Canis lupus familiaris: one gene and its partners. The main gene of each other region encodes a partner of the protein of the gene in region 3 in a complex. Links are inferred from orthologs where the notes say so. Each region holds a gene or a part of one and is shown on either strand. Other genes may lie near its edges. The genes, in order: LIN54, TFDP2, RBL2, E2F4, LIN9 and MYBL2.

The links.
Region 1: RBL2 (region 3) and LIN54 share a complex: the UniProt entries of both Homo sapiens proteins name them as parts of the DREAM complex. The link is inferred for Canis lupus familiaris from reciprocal best matches to the Homo sapiens genes RBL2 and LIN54.
Region 2: RBL2 (region 3) and TFDP2 share a complex: the UniProt entries of both Homo sapiens proteins name them as parts of the DREAM complex. The link is inferred for Canis lupus familiaris from reciprocal best matches to the Homo sapiens genes RBL2 and TFDP2.
Region 4: RBL2 (region 3) and E2F4 share a complex: the UniProt entries of both Homo sapiens proteins name them as parts of the DREAM complex. The link is inferred for Canis lupus familiaris from reciprocal best matches to the Homo sapiens genes RBL2 and E2F4.
Region 5: RBL2 (region 3) and LIN9 share a complex: the UniProt entries of both Homo sapiens proteins name them as parts of the DREAM complex. The link is inferred for Canis lupus familiaris from reciprocal best matches to the Homo sapiens genes RBL2 and LIN9.
Region 6: RBL2 (region 3) and MYBL2 share a complex: the UniProt entries of both Homo sapiens proteins name them as parts of the DREAM complex. The link is inferred for Canis lupus familiaris from reciprocal best matches to the Homo sapiens genes RBL2 and MYBL2.

The regions. Positions count from the first base shown.
Region 1 is NC_049253.1:33,112,919-33,116,418, reverse strand, and holds part of LIN54 (protein lin-54 homolog), read right to left. Parts: intron 842-3,500; coding exon 768-841; intron 613-767; coding exon 415-612; intron 1-414. UniProt on the Homo sapiens protein: Component of the DREAM complex, a multiprotein complex that can both act as a transcription activator or repressor depending on the context. In G0 phase, the complex binds to more than 800 promoters and is required for repression of E2F target genes.
Region 2 is NC_049244.1:38,451,248-38,455,329, forward strand, and holds the start of TFDP2 (transcription factor Dp-2), read right to left. Parts: upstream 2,801-4,082; 5' UTR 2,634-2,800; intron 1-2,633. UniProt on the Homo sapiens protein: Can stimulate E2F-dependent transcription.
Region 3 is NC_049223.1:61,545,706-61,549,205, forward strand, and holds part of RBL2 (retinoblastoma-like protein 2), read right to left. Parts: intron 3,007-3,500; coding exon 2,737-3,006; intron 2,544-2,736; coding exon 2,263-2,543; intron 2,172-2,262; coding exon 1,995-2,171; intron 1-1,994. UniProt on the Homo sapiens protein: Key regulator of entry into cell division. Directly involved in heterochromatin formation by maintaining overall chromatin structure and, in particular, that of constitutive heterochromatin by stabilizing histone methylation.
Region 4 is NC_049226.1:82,757,757-82,760,618, forward strand, and holds part of E2F4 (transcription factor E2F4), read right to left. Parts: intron 2,839-2,862; coding exon 2,677-2,838; intron 2,349-2,676; coding exon 2,305-2,348; intron 1,601-2,304; coding exon 1,539-1,600; intron 1,317-1,538; coding exon 1,019-1,316; intron 513-1,018; coding exon 306-512; intron 1-305. UniProt on the Homo sapiens protein: Transcription activator that binds DNA cooperatively with DP proteins through the E2 recognition site, 5'-TTTC[CG]CGC-3' found in the promoter region of a number of genes whose products are involved in cell cycle regulation or in DNA replication.
Region 5 is NC_049228.1:38,546,401-38,549,900, reverse strand, and holds part of LIN9 (protein lin-9 homolog), read right to left. Parts: intron 2,705-3,500; coding exon 2,579-2,704; intron 1-2,578. UniProt on the Homo sapiens protein: Acts as a tumor suppressor. Inhibits DNA synthesis. Its ability to inhibit oncogenic transformation is mediated through its association with RB1. Plays a role in the expression of genes required for the G1/S transition.
Region 6 is NC_049245.1:31,961,586-31,965,803, reverse strand, and holds the start of MYBL2 (myb-related protein B), read right to left. Parts: upstream 2,801-4,218; 5' UTR 2,567-2,800; coding exon 2,502-2,566; intron 1-2,501. UniProt on the Homo sapiens protein: Transcription factor involved in the regulation of cell survival, proliferation, and differentiation. Transactivates the expression of the CLU gene.

The DNA of each region.
Region 1 (3,500 bases), on a different chromosome or scaffold from region 3:
TGTGACACCTAGTAATGCATCTTATAGTCCACTTTCCAGGAGCAAGTCAGTGGCATCCTCCTCATATGTGAGGAAGAGTTGGATCACAGTCACAGCGCTCTCCAAATGCACTTGTATTCTGCTGACTTTCATTTCAACATCTCCCCCTTCTCTCTATATAGTCCTGTCCTCTCACCAAACTGATCTCAGTTTTCAAGTGTCTGACTTGCATATGTGACTTCTGCTGATATTTCAAATGCTAGGGATACATAAAAATAAATTCAGAAGTTTCTGTTAGCATCTTAAGATTTTGGAGATAGCCATTCTCATACTGAGTAAGATGTTTTTCAGTAGTTTTCAGAATGTTACAGGGCTATACATCTTAGACTAAATTATCCTTTTTGAAATGCAATGGCTCAATTTTTTTCCTCATACCTGAGTAACATACTGAGCTGGAAGCACTGCATAACCCACATTCCCTGTTCCCGGAGCTGGGGCCAGCACAGTGCCTGGTGGCAGGTTAGTGAGGTTTGGCTGGATCTGTGGCAGTGGTGTAGCAGGCATGATGAGCCGCTGTTGTGGCTGGCTGGTGGTAACTATTTGTGAAGTGGGATTGATGGGTTTGGGAACAACCTTAAAAAAAAAAAAAGTATACCCATGATTACAAAAATACATTTTACAGCTTCTCCATTCAGTATAAATCTCTCTTACGTGAATCTTAACTTTCAATTTTAAAAGTGAATTGTCTGTCTGGGAGATGCTGAAGAAAAAAATTCTGTGTCACTCACCTGTTTGACAGTCTGCGCTGAGACGAGTGGAACTGACATCCGCACTGGAGTGGTATTAACCACCACTGGCTTTGCTTTTTAAAAAAAGGGAGGAAAGGACAATTTATTTACAGGAAATAGTCCTTGAAACATTGAAGATACTTAGTTCTCTCAAGATATCCTCAAAGAGCTTAAAGAATTCCATTTGTTTCCAATTTGGAGCAATCTTTAATCAGGATAGTCACCTGTTAACATTCCTTAACCCATCTACCAGGAAACTTATGGCTACAGTAGCAGCTATAGTTTATCTGCTTTACAACAGAACATTTGTCATTTAAGACAGTCTACTGAAAACACTTCTATCTGTATTCAGATGACTTAACATTCCCTACGAAATCTAGTCAGTTGAAACGTCCTTTAAATAAAAAAAAACCTGCCATTCAGGAGCTTGAGTAACAATACTGTTCTATACTCTAATTGCCATGTTTGTATTAAAACCAGAGAAAATATCATTCTTGTATAATTCATTATTTACAGAGTACCTACTAAAAGGCAGCCTAGCGTGAGGGTAAAGAATATGGTCTCATAGGTCATAACACCCTGGAGACTCAAATCCCAATCCTTCTGCTTTCTAACTCTCTTTGCCTGTATCCTCATCTATAACATGGGGCTAGTACCTCCCTTACAGGGTATAAGGATTAAATATGTTAATCCATGAAAATTTATTAGAACAGCATCAAACAAAGAGTAAGTGCCCAATAAATGTTAGTTGCCATTAATGTATTGTTATTACGACCATTATAACTATGCAAATGGCATCGTGGACTATGTTCCAGAGAAACTAGAGTACAAGACACTTGCTCAAAGAGATTAAACTCAAGTAAAGCATATTAGACAAATACCAAATAAAATAAATACGGTTAAAACAGAGAAAGCGCTTTAGAGTCCAAGGGAGATAGAACGTATGTGTGATTGGCAGAGGATGGGAATACGAAAGGATGCATGAAGGGCACTGTGTATGAGATGGGTTGTGATCAATGGTCAGGTTGAGGAGAGGGCACACAGACTGGAGCAGGACATTCCAGGCAGAAGCAGGAAAAGTGGAGGCCCGATGCCGGAAAATAGCAAAGCACTTCACAAAATGGTGGTGAACAGATCAGATTAGTTGGAACCTAGGGTTAAATTAGGCAAGCACAAGTCTTGAATGTCAGGGTAGAAATGTATATATTTAATCTCTATTCGGGGTGGTGGTGGGGTATATCCACTTTATTTTAAAAATTTTTATTTAAATGCAATTAAATAACATTTAATGTATCATTGGCTTCAGAGGTAGAGGCCAGTGATTCATCAGTCTTCTAATCAGTATTTTTAAATTCAGTGGGCAGTGAGAAGTTTCTGAGGATTTCGAAGTACAGAAATATTACTGGACTGGCACAAAGAGAAACTATTTGGCAGCAGTGTGTAAGACAGGATGGAGTTTCATGAAACAAGGAAAATTAGAAGAGTATCTGAAGTGAGGATCTACCTGAGGTGACAGACAGGAGAGCGCAGTTGCAAGAGACAGGGTGGAGGTGAAAGGAATGTGAACTGCCAAGTGGATGGCAAGAAACTGCATGTGTTAAGGGGAGAATACATAAGTGAGCGTTAAGCTTCAAGTGACCAGGAAAACGACCGCTACCAGAACTAAAACCTCGAGAATGAGCTGATTTGAAGGGAAGATGAACCCGCCATAGAGAAAAGCTATGGTGAAATTCAGGAGAGACTGGCACTAGGCCTGTAAGTTTGGAGCACAGGTAGTACAATTTTTAATACCGTCTACTGCCATTTACAAAATCTAACAAAGGGATTTAAAAAAGACAGGAAGGATATCCCTTCCGGTTTTATTTATGCAAAAAGACCTAGAGCCTGGTCTGAAAGAGAGAGGTTGAGATAATGGGATCTATACTGGTCCCTGAACAATAAAAGAAAAAGAACAGACTTCCTTAAATAAAAATGCTTGGGAGACTTGATGGCTAAAGACACAAAGTTGAGCATCCTGGAAGAACATGTGACAGCATTCTGAACTAAAAGGGAGCGGGGGGGCCCCCCCCCTGCAGCAAGGGGACAGAAGGGGAAGGGGGAAATGGGATACCTCCAGAAGGTGCTCTAGTGCTGATGACCGCACCTCGCTCAATACACTAAAAATCACTGAACTGTATGCTTAACAAGGGTAAATTTTTATAGTAGACACGAATTGCATCTCAATAAGATGGTTATACAAAAAGAGTATAGGACCATGAATTACAGGAGCAGTGACATCTGATACCTGATTTAAAATTATTTGCTGTTCTGATTCTCTTCATTTGCTGTAGCTTTAGTCCTAATAACCACTGTAGACTGGTCTCAGCAATACTAAAAAGAATTAAAAGGTGAACTGAAAGGAATGAAAAGCCTTAATTCCTGCTTGGAACACAGAAGAGTAGACCCCCTACAGCACTTGCTCCTTGGAGAGGAGATGTTGCTCATCACTCCAGGAGCACACTGAGCAGCAGTTCTGAAGTGGCCCTAACAACCAGAAAGTAAGAACTTCCTGGTGGTCTCTGCAACAATGGGAAGGAGTGTGTGGCCTGCCCTCAGTCACATCAAGGGACAGAAGAACAGATGATTTCTATTTGGATAATAAAGAAAGGGTAACTGTCTCCATGTTGTGGGCAAGCTAGAGAATTTGGGAACTCTAGGTTTACATTAGCTTGACATCTGTGTGCTGAGTTTTCA
Region 2 (4,082 bases), on a different chromosome or scaffold from region 3:
CAACAAACAAACAAACAAAGCTTTATTTTAAACGCTCCCTTCTTGGGGTGCCTGGGTGGCTCAAGTCAGTTAAGCACCTGCCTTTGGCTCAGGTCATGATATCAAAGCCCTGGGATCAAGCCCCATGTGGGGCTCCCTGCTCAGTGGGGAGGCTGCTTCTCCCTCTCCCTCTGCAGCTCGCTCTCCTTGTGCTCTCTCTGTCAAATAAACAAATAAAATCTTAAAAAAAACATAAATAAACTCTTCCTTTTTTTTTTTTTAAAAAGATTTCATTTATTCATGAGAGACAAAGAGAGAGATAAACTCTTCCTTTTTATCTTATTTCTGAGTTAACTGTTAAGAATGACAGACTAACAATAGAAGTCAGAATATTTATGTTCGAATTCACTACCTTTGCCATGAATTTAATTTTTGCTTAGTCTGTTTCCTCATAGCGTTCTAAAAACTTTCAAATAGGGATCCCTGGGTGGCGCAGTGGTTTAGCGCCCGCCTTTGGCCCAGGGCGCGATCCTGGAGACCAGGGATCGAATCCCACGTCGGGCATCCCAGTACATGGAGCCCGCTTCTCCCTCAGCCTATGTCTCTGCCTCTCTCTCTCTCTCTCTCTGTGACTATCATAAATAAATAAAAATAAAATAAAAAATTTAAAAAATAAGATAAAATTAAAACTTTCAAATATCTAAAAGGGCTTTAAAATGCTGTGGTGCAACGTAAATATCATGCATTTTTTAAATATAAAACATAAATTAGCAACAGCAGGACAAAGCCAGTTTTTCTATCATGTTAAAAAAAAAAAGTCCCTTCACATTTAAATTCCTAATTATAAAAAAGTCTTTGAATCCTTTAAAGTATCTTTTAGTGCATAATTTTCAGTCACAAATTCTTCTCACATTGGAGATAATCATCTGTACGTCCAATTTCAATTTGCATTGAGAGCACACAGCTCAGACAGTTAAGAGTTTTTGGCTGCAAGGGAAAAACTTTGAAAAGTGCCACTCGGACTACACATTTAAAAGAGTGGAGGAGAAAGTTACAGGATCACAGACTGGTAATATGAAGTATTACACACTTGAAAAATTCCGTTTTCCCTCTTAAACCGCTAGAAATAAAGAGGACTCAAAAGTACGTGGAATAAGCGTTGAGCCTTTATTAAATATAGGTGCCACATTGCTGAAACTGCAACTGTACGGCCAGAACAGTGCTACAGACACCGTGTCTGCCAGTAGACCAGACTCTAGTTCCAGGCACAAGATGTTCTAATAAATAAAAGCATCCAGAGCCAGTACACGAGGGTGATAGAATCTGGGGTCTAGGCATTTGATTTTTCTCCCGGTGTTACTCGAGAATGGACGCTACTATTAAAGATTTATCATAGCAATAGGATAGTGACGAAGCTTTAGCTAGATTATAGGCTAGCCAAGGAAACAGAAAAGCAACATGCAATGTCAGATCAACTACATTATCTTGCGTTTAATTCTGAGCACAGCCTGGATCATGGTTACAGTCCTAACAGAGGGCAAATGAATAACTTTGTATTTTTTGGGTGAAGATCATCTCGAACCATTAAAAGAAGAGTGGCCCGGGGGGGGGGGGGGGGGGAAGAAAGGAAGAAAAATCAAGCTACCGAAGTCAAATGAAAATTCACAAAACTAAGATTTAGGGGAGAAAGGGGAAGGAAGGAAGAGAATGAGCTACTGACTTACTAAAAAGAGAGCAAATAAGTGGGACAGGGAGTCTGAGCCCTGTGAGATAGAATGAGGAAGAGAAACGTACCAAAGGCTCAAAGGGAGCTTCAGCAGCAAATATGAAAAGGGATGAGCCTGTTAACTGTTTCGACAGAAAAAAAAAAAAAAAAGAGAAACAATACGGGGCGCTTCTCTGAACCCGCGTTCGCGGGAGACCGGAACAAACGCGCCCAACTCCTGCGGGGCGCCTGACCCGGCCGAGCTCGTTCCAGATGCTCCGCAGGCTGGTCCTCGAAACACCTGGAAAAGGCGGTTGCAGACCCCCACGAGGCAAGACAACAAAAGTTGGAGCCAGAGGCCGGTCGGAACCGTGTCCCCGAGCCGATCCTGCAAAACCTCTCTATTTTCCAGCGGGGGAGGGGGTCCTAGCCCTGGGCAATTCCTCCAGGCGCGCGGGCCCCCGAGGCGACCCTCCACTCTAGAGGGAAGTTCCCTTGGGCGACATGGGAGGTTCTCGCAAGCGCACGGAGCTTTGCGGCTCCGAAATACACCTGGCGGGGACAGATGGAGGCGTGTGAGTCATGGGCGGCGGAAAAGTCGGAAAACCAGACTTAGAAGCCATCGTTCTGCCCTGAAGACCTGAAGAGACCCGAGAGGAGACAGCAGCCCTTCGCCCGCCGCCCGAGGCGTGACGCGGGGTCGCCGCCCCCTCCCGGGGCGCGGGGGGAGGGGAAGGGGGGAGGGGCTCTCCGGGTCCCGCCCCCCACCCCACCCCACCCCACCCCACCCCACCCCCACTCAGGGGGGACTCGGCCCGGCCCGGGGGCGCCGTGGGAATAAACAGACGGCCTGGGGGGGGGGGGGGCTGCCCGGGAACACGAGGGGCCGGGCCGGGGCCGGAGGCCCTCCGCACGCGGCCCGCGCCCGCGCCCGCGCCCCGGACCTTACCGCCGCTCGGCTGCAGAGGACGAGGCGGCCGCTCAGGGCTGTTCTTCCGAGCCTGGGGCGCGGCTCGGCGCCTCCGCTCCGGTGGCGCCCGCGTCCCGACGGACTCACCCTGGGGGAAGGGGTGGGCGATCCGCGGCCTGCCCGGCGGAGGCCCGCGAGTCCGCGGCCCTGGGACGCCGGCCGTGCGTGCGCCCGCGAGGCTGCCCAAAAAGGAAGGCTCGGAGCGCGCCCGCGTGCCGAGAAGCGGCGGCGGCCGCAGCCCAGATCCCCGCCGCCTGGTCGCCCTCGCCCAACCCGGCCACGGCCCCGCTTCCCCCGCGCGAGCTTTGGCGGCGGAGCAGCACGGTGAGCCCCGATTGGCTCTCGGCGCGAGTGACGTAAGGCGCCGCTGCCCCCGGATTGGCCAGGCCGGCGGTGCGTGCACGGAGTAAACAAACCCCGCCCCCGGGCCTCCCGAGCAGGGGAGGGGGCCGCGCGCTGAGGGGGCGGGGCCTGCGGCGCTCGGCCCGGGGCTCGGCCGCTCGCAGGAGCGTCGCAGGGGCTGCCCCGCGGCGACCCGACCCTCCGCTCCCCAGCCGCGGGCGGCGCGGGCTGCAGGCCTGAGGCCTAAAATTCGTGGACACGCCCATTCCCCCGGGCTTGGGGCAGAATCCTGACTTTTCCATCCAACCCCATCCCCCAGGCCCGGAGCAGGAAAACCCCATCTCTCTCTCCCGCTCGGAAAAAAAGGAACTAAGGAGGTTATATCTGGGTCCCCAGGCCCTCGATGGCTCCCCCCCGGGGGGCAGCGCGAGGAGGAGGGTGGGGACAAGTGACTTTGAGGCCACGTGTGGGCATCCCGCAATTAATTATTCCGACAATCGGTTAGAGACCACTTGGGGATGTGGGTTCCTCAATACCCAGGCAAATAAAATCCAAACCGGGTCAGGTCACCATGTCATTTAGACGCTGAAGAGAAGATTGCAGCCCACACCCCCAAATACCTGCCCCATTTTGTTCAAAATTAAAACATTTCGTCTATCAATTCAGTGCCTTTGTGAAAAATCACGTAGGAGCTTTCTTTCCCATTCTCGTGGGGTGGGAAAGAAAATATGCAAAAGAAAAAAAGCAAAATGTAAACTATTATGTGATAGGTGCTATGGTGGGGGGGTAGGAATAAGCAGAAAAGGTGTTTGAGGGATGGCTTGTATTAAATAGGGTGCTCAGGGAAGGCGGCAGAAGAGATGCCATTTAAGGAAATATCTAAAGGAGGTGAGGGAAGTGAAAGAGCACCTTTGGACTTTTCTCTGAGGTGGGGTGGAGAGACAATTTCTGCAAAACTGTACATAGATAAACTCCTAGGAGTTGGGGAATGTTAAATGCAGTACTCTTTGGACCGATTCTAAAATGCAAAAGCCTCAGTGGAGTGATTACCACGCATTTTCCAGGAACAAATCAATAGTGTTTATT
Region 3 (3,500 bases):
AATTACTCAAAATGGATCAAAGACCTAAATGTAAGAGATAAGACTATAAAACTCTTGGAAGAAAACATAAATATCGATGACCTTGGACATAACAATGTATTCTTAGACACCAAAAGTTCAAGCAACAAAGAAAAAATATAAAAATTGACTTAATCAAAATTAAAAACTATATGGTTCAAATAACACCATCAAGTAAGTGGAAAAACACCCAAAGTATCTACAAATATCTGCAGAATATATAAACTACAGCTCAACCATAGAAAAGCACAAAACAATCCAAATAAAAAATGGACAAAGTATTTAAACTGGTATTTCACCAAAGATATACAAATGACCAGCAGACAAATGATTTCCTGATGGCCAGAATAAAAAACCCAAATAATAGTCAATAAGCACAATAAAAGACATTCAACATCATGAATCATTAGGAAAATAAACATCAAAACCACCATAATGGGGGCAGCCCAGTGGCTCAGTGGTTTAGCGCCACCTTCAGTCCAGGGCTGATCCTGGAGACTCAGGATCGAGTCCCACATCAGGCTCCCTGCATGGAGCCTGCTTCTCCCTCTGCCTCCTGTCTGCCTCTCTCTCTCTCTCTCTCTCTCTCTCTCTCTCATGAATAAATAAAATCTTAAAAAAAAAAACAACCCATAATGTATCAATCAATACTGAGATGACTATAATAAAAAATTGAAAAGCTGGCAAGGATGTAGAAAAATTAGAACTCTAATGCACTGCTAGTGGGAATGTAAAATGGTGCAGCTGCTGTCAAAAACACGGCAAGTTTCTCAAAAAACTAAACCTAAAATTACCATATGACCCAGCAATTCCACTTTTGGGTATATGCCTAAAAGAATGAAACTAAAAGTTCAACAAGATATTCATACACTCATCTTCATAGTAGCACAATTCACCATAGCTAAAAAGTGGAAGCTACCCAAGTGGCCATCAATGGATGAATGGATAAACAAAATGTGATATGTCCACACTATGGAGTATTACCCAGCCTTAAAAAGGAAGAAAATTATAACTCATGTTACAACACAGAAAGATCTTGAGGATGTTATACTAACTGAAATAAACCAGTCACGAAAAGACAAATACTGTAGGACTCCTAGAGGCACCCAGAATAGTCAAATTCATAGAGACAGAAAGTAGAATGATGGGTGCCAGGAGCTGAGGGAGGGGGAATGCAAAGAACCTATTTAATAAGTAAGTAGTTTTATTCTGTAGGGATGGAAATGTTTTGGAACAAGATAAAGGCTGGGTGTACAAGATTGGGAATGTACTAAGTACCACTGAATTGTTCATTTAAAAATGGTTGATTTATATGAATTTCACATCAATAAATTATTTTAGAAAAATGTCTGATAATAAAAAGTGCTAATGAGAAGGTGGAGAAATGAAGACTTCATATACTGCTAGCAGAAATACAAAATGCTGCAGTGACTTTGGAAAAACAGTCTGGCAGCTCCTCAAATGGTTAAACACAGTATAAGACCTTGCAATCCACCACCTTTAGGTATATAGAAAAGAGAAATGAAAACATGTCTATGCAAAAACTTGTACACAAATGTTCATAGCATTATTCATGATAGTCAAAAAGTGAAAATACCCGGATGGCCATCAATTAACAGATAATCAAAATGTCATATATTTATACAATGGAATATTATGTTCTAAAATTTACTGTGGTGAAGGTTGCACATATCTATAAATGTACTAAAAACCACTGAGCTGTACATTTTAAGTGAGCAAACCAAGGGGTGCCTGGGTGGCTCAGTCACTTAAGCATCCAACTCTTGATCTCAGCTCAGGTCTTCATCTCAGAGTTGTTAGTTCAAGCCCCACACTGGGTGTGGGGACTATTTGAATGAATGAATGAATGAATGAATGAATGAGTGAATTATAGCTCAACAAAACTGTTAAAAGTGTTCTGAGAGTAAGGAAGTAGCATCTTTACTTTTTCCTTTTATATTCCAAATGGTACTCACCTTTGCCATCACATAAATGGCACACATCAACAGCTGGTCCAGGTGTCTGTCCATCATAAGTTCAGGACACTGAATTATGGAGAATTCAAAACAGGTCCAGATTTTTTTCCTCAGTTCATCTGAAATATCCAGTTTAGCACAAAGATCCCGAAGGCGGACACCTGCCAAGTGGTAAACCTGGTAGATAAACAAAAACATTTCAAAGTTTGTTTACCTAACACTTATACTTCCCAAGCTTATACCCTGATAAGGGTACATGAAAAATTACCTTTCTAAAGAAGAGTGATAAAGAGCTGGTCTTCCTGGGTCTAATACTGCTGCCAGTTAAAGGTGGGCCTTGTTTCTGCTGATGTCCACCTGGGGAAATCTGTTGAATGGCCACCTGACCAGGGACTTGCAAGGTTGTTCCTGTCACCTGTTGAGAGCTCAAACTTCCAGCCAGGGCCTGAGCACTGAGGGGCTGGATGGAGCCAGTCACGGCTTGTGCCTGCCCTCCAACATTGACCTGGACTGGGAAGAACGTTATCCCTCCATTTTCATTCGCAATACCTATAGTTTGTTAGGGAGAAGATGAGGATGATGAAAAGTTCTCTAGGCACGGGTTTCCAGTTTCTCCCCTCCTAGCCTCCTTCCCCCCCCCCCCCGCCCCCTTATCTCCTGTTGTCATTCCAGCCAAATCTCAGGTGACTTTCCAATAAATGCCACCGAGAAAGAACTCAATATTCAACTCTGCCTTCCTTACCTTGTACAGGAATGGTCACTGTTTGTCCATTGTTGGCTGTGACAGTGGCTGTTGCCATAGTGACCAAAGTCTGTCCAGGAACTGGTGTGACAGAAACAGTCTCCCCAGATACATTCTGCACAGGGACAGCATTGACGAGGGGTTGTGGGGGAATGCGCCCAGGTGTCCCTCCATCAGAAGGGCTATCATTCTCAACAAATAGCCGCCTTCTGGTAGAGCTGGCTGTTGGGGAGCTGTATCTATCATATAATGTGGCTGGAGATGTTATGCCTAGGGTCAGAAAAAAAAAAAAAATCAAACAAATGGTTTAACTCAAGGAAACTGAGATCTAACTTCCAGCCAAGCTCTTAAGTTCAAAACTAATCAGTATCTGAAATACTTCATAAACAAAAATTACAGGGATCATATTCATAAGTATATTCAACTAATGAAAATTCAACCACACACTATTAAGAGCAAAATTTAAACACAAGAATTTTTCTCTATTTGTTTCACAATGCTCCCTACTTTATTCCAGCTCCTGCTAAATCAAACTCTGCCCTCTACTACTACATAATCCTGATGACTTAGGGGCAATTTAAACAATTATTCTATTTTCCTATGATACTTTTGACCATATTCAATTTCTACCTAACACTCATGTACAATGTGATTTTCACTGTAAAGCCACTACTCAAAACAAGGGGACTTGATATTACTAGGACATCATCTGGGAGCATTCCCCCCCAGTTTTATCAATTTGCATCTTTGTCTTTTTCCATGTA
Region 4 (2,862 bases), on a different chromosome or scaffold from region 3:
TGAGTGCCTTCCCACACCCCATCCCCAGGACAGCTATTATGCCTTCCTGACACCTGAGTGCCCGGGGAGGGAGTGGGGAGGTAGGGCGGTGGGGGTGGAGGCAAGGCTTGAGAGGGGCCTGGGAGTTCTGTGGAGCCCAGGCTCCTCACTCAGACTGGCAGAGCTCTGGGGTCAAAACAAGGTTTGATGTGGGGGCTGGCCAGCTCTGGCTGAGGAGACAGGAGAGCTAGGTTCCAGCCCCAGCTGTTTCTGACCTAGAAGTGGCTGCGGCCAGATTCCCTGCCCCTCAGGGAACATGCACTCACCTCCTGTGGGGTCTGCCTTGATGGGCTCAAAGGAGGTAGAAGGGTTGGGTCCGGATGAGCTGCTGTTGCTGCTGCTGCTGCTGCTGCTGCTGCTGCTGTCTAGTAGGGCAGAGGACTGCAGCGGCCGAGTGTCCAGGGCTGCCAGGCCCGGTGGGAGGGAGCCAAGCTCACCACCGTCCTTGCTGTCCGTTCCAGGGCCACCACTCACTGCAACCAGATCCCCTGAACCCAGTCACTTGGGAGCAGGAAGTGGGATACTGAAGTTTTGTGCTAGAACCCACAGTAGGGGTGACAAGAGTCCCGGTTCCCAGGCCCAAGGAGAGATAAGCACTGCCAGTCCCCCCGACCCTGCCCCTGGCCAGCGCCCTGCAGAGGTAATGCAGAAATGAGCCACCAAAGGAGACAGGAGCATGAGGCCTGCAGGATAGAGACTCATGAATGACATGACTCCTGTGACCACACTTCAAGGGGGGCTGAATGGAGACACAAGTGGACTTGGGGAAAACTGTTACCACTAATATCCCTTCACACCATCAGAGCCTATTAGAAAGGGCTCATTTATGACCACAGCAAGGGGAGGCCAGCTGGAGGTTAGGAAAAGGACATCCTCCCCAAGGTCTCTTCCAACTCTGAGCACGCATTCCACAACACAGAGGTATTGCCTTCCGGGCCCCAGAAATCATTCTATCACCAGCTGCCTGTTATTACCTCACCTGCGATCTCAGCTGCTGGACCGGGCACCCCCTGGGCTTCAGTGATGCCAGTGACAGGGGTGGGGGTGGTCAGCTGGGGACTGCTTGGGCGTGAGGTGTCATGGGGCTGAGCCAGGGTAGGCTTGGGCAGAGGTGGAGGGGTAGAGACAGCAGGTGGGCTCTGGAGCAGATCTTCTGGTGGTGGCACAGGCACTGCCACAGGCGGTGAGCTCCATGCCTCCTTGTTTACCAGCAGCACTTCAATAGGGCCACTCACACTCTTCAGGTGAATCTGGTATTTCTTCTGTCCATTGAGGCCCTGGAGGTGGGGGGTAAGGGACAGGCGGAATGAGAAGCAGGCTTGGCTCCTGCCAGCCTAACCCTGGGCCGGGGCCAGTGTCCTCTCCCACCCTAGGCTGCCCGTTCTTCTAGATAAACCCCAAGTCCAGGCCACCCCCTACCTGCCCCACCCGGGACTTATCGGGCTCCACAGCCAGCACCCGCCCTCAATCAACCCCGCCTGCTTGGGCTGAGCACCCACCTCTGGGATGGGCACCTCGAGGCTGGTTCCCGATGGGGCCCGGATGGCCAAGAGGGTATCTCCTAGAATGACAAGGAAGAGGAGTCAGGGCCCATGGGCTCAATCTAATCTGAGAATAGGGGTACCTATTCCTTTGAGCAAGGGAGGAAATCATGGTCTCTTAGGATAGTAAGCCTCACCCGACCCCCACCACAGTGGCTGAGGCAGAAAACTAAAGCTTTTCTCTTCCCAAGAGCCCAAGGGTTAGTAACCAGAAAATCTGGGCTCAAACGTGTGGACTGAAGGATTGCTGGCCATAGGCATCTCACTCCTTGATTGATGGGGCTGGTCCCTAGAAGATGTTCTGGCCAAGGCCAATGTTCCTTTTCCAAACTAGTTTAGGGGATGCAGGATGAAGAAGGAGCAGTTCCTGTATTTGTAATGCAAATAACTGATAGATTGCAAGGGAACATCATGCATATGCGTACGCACATGCTCTGTCCCCCTTATGCCTCTGTCATGTCCGAGAAGCCAAGCCCAGGGAACAGTGCAGATGGGGACTGACCTAGGGACCCAGCCCAGAACTCTTGTACCCTTTCAATATGGTTTGTCTTCATGGAGTCCTGGTGACCCTCAAACCCAGGACTTACCCTGCCTGGTTCCTCTTTGGGCAAGCCTATGGAACCCTCTTAAGAGACTAAACTCTCCTTGGGCACTGAGCCCACTGCTCAAGGCTGTGGCTCAGCCCAGCCCCACCCCCATGTCCCCCTACCCAGGCTCTGCTCACCAGCAAAGCATCTGCAGATGTCCTCATGAGTCACGTAGGCCAAGGTGTGGGGGTTAAGGAGAACGGCTGATGCCCTGCCTATGGTGACAAATGGCAGACCACAGAGAAAACCCAGCTCTTTAGCAGAGATCTGACATGAAAGCTCTCAGACAAAGTCCTGGGACCTGGGGTCTACATAGGGAAGAATCACAGACCACGGTTGGTTGGGGAGGGGCTTTGAGTTTGAGGAGGGAGGCCAAGGCAGGGACCTGCCCAGGAGTTGCAGGATCATCCTCCCAAGAGGGACAGTGCCTAGGGCACCACAGAGCAAACCCAGCTGGACTAGAGGGCCCCTTGCCCACTCCCCGGGAGCAGGGACCGCCAGGAGGATATCAGCTGTTCTGCACGTCCTCTGTGACATTCCGGATGCTCTGCTGCACCCACACCTTGTGCTTGTCCAGTTCTTGCTCCCGCTGCTGCAGCTCCTCGATTTCAGCCTTGAGCTCAATCAGCTTGTCCGCAATCTCCCGGGTGTTGCAGCCAGGCCCCACACCCCTGAGCCCAGAGAGTGGGGCTGAG
Region 5 (3,500 bases), on a different chromosome or scaffold from region 3:
TATTCTATTCAGAAGAACATGATATTTTCCCTGTGACCCCATGAGCACACCAATATAGAACTAAAGATGAGGCTTACCACTGTGTAAATGTTTAATCATACTTCCTGCCTTGAAGCATAAATACCGAATTTACTCTTATCTTTAGGGACTGTTTTACTTCTATTTTCAAATACTGGGATGAATCAAAGTAACTTAAATATAGCTTTCGTGTCACAAAATATATATCCATAAAACAATCATCACAGACAAGATAATGAACATTTGAAGACATCAATCACTCCACAAAGTTTCCTTGTGGCATTTTATTATCCCTCCTTCGCATCCCTCCCATTTCTGTACCCCTACTTCTCAAGCAATTGCTGAAGTGCTCTCAGTCATTATAGTTTCTACCTTTTAAAATCTTATACAAAATAAATAAATAAATAAAAATAAAATCTTATACAAATGAAATCATGTAGAATGAACTCTTTTGTCAGGCTTCTTTCACTCAGCAGAATTATTCCAAGATTAATCTGTGTTGTTACATGTACCAATGGTTCATTCTTTTTATTGGAGAACAGTATCCATTTCTATGAATGGCCACCGTTTACCCATTCACCTACTGGTGGACATTTGTATTATTTTCAGTTTGGCGCTATTACAACAAAGTTGATATGAACATTTATGTGTATAGGTTTGGTTTTTTTTTAAGATTTTATTTATTTGTTCACTAGAGACAGAGAGAGAGGGAGAGAGAGAGAGAGAGAGAGAGAGAGAGGCAGACACATAGGCAGAGGGAAAAGCAGACTCCATGCAGGGAACCTGATGTGGGACTCGATTCTGGGACTCCAGGATCATGCCTGAGCCGAAGACAGACAGACACTTAGCTGCTGAGCCACCCAGGTGTCCCTGTGTATAGGTTTTTGTATAAATATAGGCTTTCATTTCTCTTAACTAAATACCTAAGAGTGGAATGGCGGGGTCGTATGGTCAGTGTATGTTTAACCCTTTTAAGAAACCAAAGAAGCCAGGGATGTCTGGGTGGCTATGTTAGAAAGCAAGATAACACTACAAAGGGAAAAGTCATTTCACATGAAAAGTAATTTTCAGAAAATAACATATTGGAGAGATTCACTTGATTTTTCTTTCTGGGGTTTTTCTGTTTTTGTTTTTAGATAGAATGCGTTTTTGTTTTACTGAGGTATAATAGATATATAAGACACTATGTAACCTTCAGGTGTACAAGAGAATGATTCAATATTTGTATATATTGTGAAATGATCACCACACTAAGTCTAGTTAACATCTGTCACCATATATAGTTACAATTTTTTTTTCTTGTGATAAGAACTTTTAAGATCTACCGTCAGCAACTTTAAAATATGCTTTACAGCCACTTGGGTGGCTCAGTTAAGCATCTGCCTTTGGCTCAGGTCATGATCTCGGGGTCCTGGGATCGAGCCCCACATCAGACTCCCTGTTCAGTGGGGAGCCTGCTTCTCCCTCTCCCTCTCCCCACCCTTCACTCATGCTCTCTCACAGTCTAATAAATAAATAAAATCTTTTTTTAAAAAAAGCTTTACAATACTATTAACTATAGTCATCACACTATACATTACATTCCATGACTCATAACTGCAAGGTTCTATCTTTTGATCCCCTTCACCCATCTCACCCTACCCCTTTATCTTGTTTTTATATAAAGTAAAATATGTAAGAAGGCTTTTGCGGTGATAGATGGTTTCTAAAAAGATAACAATGTATTAGTATACCCCGAGAGCTTCATTAAATATAGTGTACTCCTAAAAAACAAGGATGTGACCACTCAGGTCCACTTATGCATGGATTTTATTTTTTAATATAGTATGGTACTATAAATGTATCTTCCGTTCTTATGATTTTCTTAATACCATTTTCTTTTCTCCAGCTTATTTTATTGTAAGAACACAGTAATATATATGTGTTATTGACTGTTTATATTATCAGTAAGATTTCCAGTCAATAGTAAACTACTAGTAGTTAGGTTTTGGGGGGAGTCAAAAGTTATATGAAGATTTGACTGTGCAGGGTCGGCATCCCTAACCTCCATATTGTTAAAGGATCAAATATATTTTCTAGTGTATTCTTAAATATTTTTTGGAACATAGTGGGGCATAGAGAATGTAAGAAAATTATGTTCGAATCCTATAATTTGAAAAATGAAACTGTATTTAATTTTAAGATGCATCGATATAAAAAGCACCTATATTAAAGCTAGTTATGGGATCCCTGGGTGGCGCAGCGGTTTGGCGCCTGCCTTTGGCCTAGGGCGCGATCCTGGAGACCCAGGATCGAATCCCACATCGGGCTCCCAGTGCATGGAGCCTGCTTCTCCCTCTGCCTGTGTCTCTGCCTCTCTCTCTCTCTCTCTCTCTCTGTGACTATCATAAATAAATAAAAATTAAAAAAAAAAAAAGCTAGTTATCAGGATATATTTAAAATATAATGATTCTGAAAAGTTATGTTTCAGGACTAGTCTTTGCAAAGATGAAAAGTAATCAATGTGGTAATTATACTACCAACTAACTTACTGGTTTATTTTAAATAAAAATATTTTTACCTCCGTGGTTTTCCCATAAGTCGCCTGATTTTTCCCCATTCTACTCTTGTTAACTTTCTTGTTTTTAAATTAGGAAAAGATTCCTTCAGACATACACAGAAGTCATTATCACCTTCAAAGAGTGGTCTGTAAGACAGAAATGGTAATTTAGTGGTTAATCACAATTATTTCAGAGGCATAAATTCAAAATATGCTTTACAATTTTCAACATTATACTAATCCTCAAATGCATCTTTCACTTCTACCCAGGACATATACAAAATTGGCACAATTTCAAACTGTTAAAACTAAAAGTGGCATTTGTGAAACAATTAATGTATACAATTTACTCAAGAAATGTCTGTGCTGGAGATTCCAGGAGACTCTGATTTTTGCTAAATCTCACATATGAGTATCCTAGTATATCTTGGCACTGTCATTACATCCAGTGAGGATGAACAATGTTAGCTACAAAGTATCTTTGTCCCAAAGGTAATACCAACAGCAAGGAGTCCTCTTTGAGATTAAGTAAATTTTAGAAAAATAGGGACTCTAGAGGGTTATATCAGTTCTTGGGAATTCTAGAACTCAGATCACACCAAGATACCCTGAAAGCCTCATAAACTATGGAAAAATCAGTGGACGAAAATAAAACAATTTCAGGGGGGCATGGCTGGGTCAGTACGTAGAGCATGTGACTCTTGATTTTGGGACTGTAAATCTGAGCCTCACGTTGGATACAGAGATTAGACTTCAATAAGGTCTTTTAAAAAGAAATTAGGGGGATACCTGGGTGGCTCAGCAGTTTAGTGCCTGCCTTCGGCCCAGGGCGTGATCCCTGAGTCCCGGGATCGAATCCCACATCGGGCTCCTTGCATGGAGCCTGTTTCTCCCTCTGCCTATGTCTCTGCCTCTCTCTCTCTCTGTGTCTCTCATGAATAAA
Region 6 (4,218 bases), on a different chromosome or scaffold from region 3:
CTCTCTCCCTTCCCCTTACCCATACTACTCCAGGCAAATGGCAAAGCAGGGATTCAAACCTGAGCGTAGGCTATCTAGTTTGAGTCTATACCTTTTAGGTTTTTAAAGACTTCATTTATTTATTCATGAGAGACACAGAGAGAGGCATTGACATAGGCAGAGGGAGAAGCAGGCTCCCTCTGGGACCTTTGGCTCCCTCAATCCCAGGACCCCAGGATTACCACTGGAGCCAAAGGCAGATGCTCAACCACCGAGCCACCCAGGCAGGCACCCCTAGTCTGTATTTTTTAGAGATTTTATATTTATTTTAAGAGAAAGAGAGAGGAAGCAAGCACAAGCAGGGAGCAAATAGCAGAGGGAGAGGGGCAGAGAGAGAAGCAGACTCGCTCACAGGGCTCCATCCCAGAATCCTGGGATCATGACCTGAGCCAAAGGCAGAGCTTAACCAACTGAGCCACCCAGGCGCCCGAGAGCCTATGCTCTTAATCACTACACCCACCTACTTCGTAGGGTGGTTGTAGGATTAAATAAATATGTGTAAACCATTGAGAATAATTCCTAGCCCATAGGAAGTACTACTTTAGTTTTAGTTGTGTTACATTAATAATGAAGGCTACTCAGAAGGCAGGGACAAGGGGCCCCTGTCTTAAGAGGAAACTACCTTGAAAAGAATAAAGACCCCATCCCGTTATTCTAGACTTTACCCAGTGCCCCAGCCTTAAGTCATTCTACTGGGAGGACTTAAAATTTGTAAGGGACACAAAGGAAGAGAATGACCTTGGGTGTCCTAATCCAGGGCCAGCTCAACAGCCAGCAGGATATTTAAACAGAGTTTAATTGGGTGGCCTGAGCAGGCCTGCCTTAAGGCAGAGACGACTGCTGTCTTCTTGTCCCTGAGGCTATGAAACACAACCCCAGAAGGAAACCTCCACCCTTCTCCACGTGAACTACTTGATAGGTAGAGGAGTTGCATGGACAAAAACTCTCCAAAAGCCCATCAGCTAATAGGGAAATGAGTGAACAGAAAATTAAATCTATAAAGGTAAAGACAAACTGCACACTGTGGATGCCCACAATAAAGGTTATTCAGACTTTGGTGATTTGGGAATTTGCAAGGTAGCCAATAAGGGGAGTAACACTTCAGGCAGAGGGAACAGCCAGTGCATGCTAGGAAGAAGCAATATTGTTAAGTCCTCAGGGATTGGCCAGAGTTGCAGTCATTTTTGAGTCTTCTCTCACATCACTTACCGGATCTTTCTGCAAATCGTATCGGCTCTACCCTCAAAACTCTACCTCCAAAATATATCCAGGGGCAACACATAAAAAGATGCTCAATACCATGTCATCAGGGAAATGCAAATTAAAACCATCCAGTCACACGGAGCCAAGAAAAATGAGCGCATATGTTCACACGAGTTTTGCATAGTTTTATTTGTAATAGGCCCAAAATGGAAACAACCCAAATGTCCATCAACAGATGACCGAATAAACAAATGATAATTATAAAATAAATATAACCATACAGTGGAATACTACCAAACAATAAAAAGCAACTGCTGATACAATATGAATCTCAAAATAATTATGTCTGAGTAGATACCGTATGAGGTCATTTACATACAATTGTAAAAATTGCATAAAAGAACCAATAAAAGCAAAAAATGGTTGCAGAGAAAGGATTACAAAGGGATAAGAGGAATTATGGGGGAATGAATGATAATGTTCTATTTGTAATATTCTAAGGGTCCCTCTTTGATCACAGGGAGGGGTATGGGGTTACTGACCAGAAAAGAGGGGAACCAACTCAACATGATCTGCCTGGGTTTGTCCAGATCATGCCAGCCCCTGCTGTGTCCTCCTTTATGCAACTACATAGGTCCAGAATTCGGTCTCTTAGGGAGTTAGGGACAAATGAGGCTAGGCAGGGGGCCATGGAACTAGGCTCACAAAAATCCCGAAAATGTGGAGATGAAAGTAAACCAGAGATAAATAAACCAGACCATCCTGTCCCAGGTGCCAGAAGTGGGGTCTTGATGTAACAAACAGTTCCTTGTGACTAACAAGGAATTACTGGACCCGAGAAAGGAAGTAAGCCCATTAAAGATGTTATCACGGGTCCTTACTTAATGATGGTATCAATAGATTAATATTGAAAGGATTTGGGGGCAGCCCGGGTGGCTCAGAGGTTTAGCTCCTGCCTTCAGCCCAGGGCGTGATCCCGGGGTCCTGGGATGGAGTCCCGCGTCGGGCTCCCTGCGTGGGGCGGGCTTCTCCCTCTGCCTGTGTCTCTGCCTCTCTCTCCGTGTGTCTCATGAATAAATAAACAAAATATTTTATTAATAAATAAATAAATAAATAAATAAATAAATAAATAAATAAATAAATAAATAAATAAATAAATAAATAAAATTTTTTTAAAGGGATCTGGGTTCCCTGGCGGGCTTTCAACAAAAGACCAACCCTACAGCCCTCAGTGGCAACCCTGTCGGGGCCCCTCTCACCTCTGAGCTTTCCCTGCATCTTTGCTTAATAAATACCGCTTTACAGTCTCCTGTGCGCACGACATCCACGCTTCGACTCCCCGAGACCAGGACCAAGCTCTCCCGTACCGTTAGGAACCACCTAATGCAAGTTTCCGGCGTTCCTGTAAGGGGAGGAGCCTCGGAGATGAGCGCCAGAGGCCCGGGCGGCTTGATGCCTGCGCCGCGTCCAGCCCAACCCTGACCTCCGCCCTGGGCCTCCAGGGCATCCGCTCTCACGAGCTTAGCTTTCTTTGGCAGTGCGGCCACTTGTCCGGGAACCGAGCCGGGGACGACTCGCAGGGACGCCGAAACCTTGTCCCGCGGCGGTGGAGACCACCTCCACAGCCCGGCCAGGCCCCGCGGCCGCGCAGGGCGTGCGGCGCCATTACCGCCCTTTTCTGCGAAGACGGAGGAAAAGTTAGCCTTTGGAGTGCAGCTGGCAGTCCGTGGCCGCCGCTGTGAACCGGAGCGAGGGTCGCGGCCGGCCTCCAGGCGCCCTCGGGGTAGTCCGGGCCGCCGGACCACCCGGCGCGCGCCCCGTCTCCGGCGCCGCGCGGAGCATGGCGGGAGTCGCGCCGCCTGACGTCAGCAGGGGCGCCTGCGCTCGGAGGCCGGGAGCCCGGCGGCCTTGCCACGCGCTCGTACGTCGCGCGCGGTCCCGCGGGCGCCGCGCAGTCGGGGGTGTCGTCGCCGGGAGGCTTCCGACGGCTGAAGGGAAAGGCCAGGGCCGGAGAGGGGGCAGGGAGGTGGGGGGGCGGCCCGGCCCGACGCTGCGGGAGCCCTTCGCGCAGCTTGTAGACATTTGCGACTCCAGGAAGTTCCTTTCTCTCCCGATTACCTCGTGAGCTGCGGGAGCCGGGCGCCAGGGTAAGGTGGTGGGCCGCGTGGCAAAACCTGGGATCAGCAAGATTTGTTACTCTCTTTGAAGATATTTCTTCCTGTTGAAGCCTGTGGGAGAAATTTGAACATTGGTCTTAGAAAGGGGAGCTGAGTGGCCGAAGTGGCTGGTGGGATTCTTTTCAACATCCCTCGGTTCCGTACTACTTGGATTTTTACTTAATTTTTAAAATTTCATTAGGGCACGGAGTTTGAGTAAAACCTCTCATATTTGGTTTTATAAACAAATAGTTTAGCAAAAGCCACATCGTAGATGTGTGAATCCTAAGAACCACCAATTTTCCCTCTTGGTCTTAGGGAGAGCAGAGACCCTCGTTCCCAACAACACTGTCTCCCCTTCCTCCGTGTATCACCTCCTCTTCGCGTGGACACTCCTGTTTCTCTGATCAGAGACCTATTGGAGTTCAACAAATAAAACCTCCAGCAGTTGTTTTTACGCTATTAACAGGGCTGATAACCATCACTTTCTGAGTGTGTTTTAAGAGTGAAGTTGAAATCCTTGTTCAAGTCTGTTAACTTTTCATGTTTGAATTTAAAAACACCCCTGCTCACTACCTTAACCAGTCTATTGAACTTAATTGCATTAATAGAGGACCAGTCTAACATACACAGCATCAGCTAGAAGATATTCTTGCCAAAAATGTCTAATTCAAAGCTAGTCAAGCCTTTAAACCAAACTTTGCATTTGAAGGAAAGATAATGGGATAATAGACACCATAATGAAATCATCAAAATAACCAGAATGTGGGACACCTAATTTAGTTGTCAAAAAAAAGTCATTAAAAAAGGGGGGGGGGGG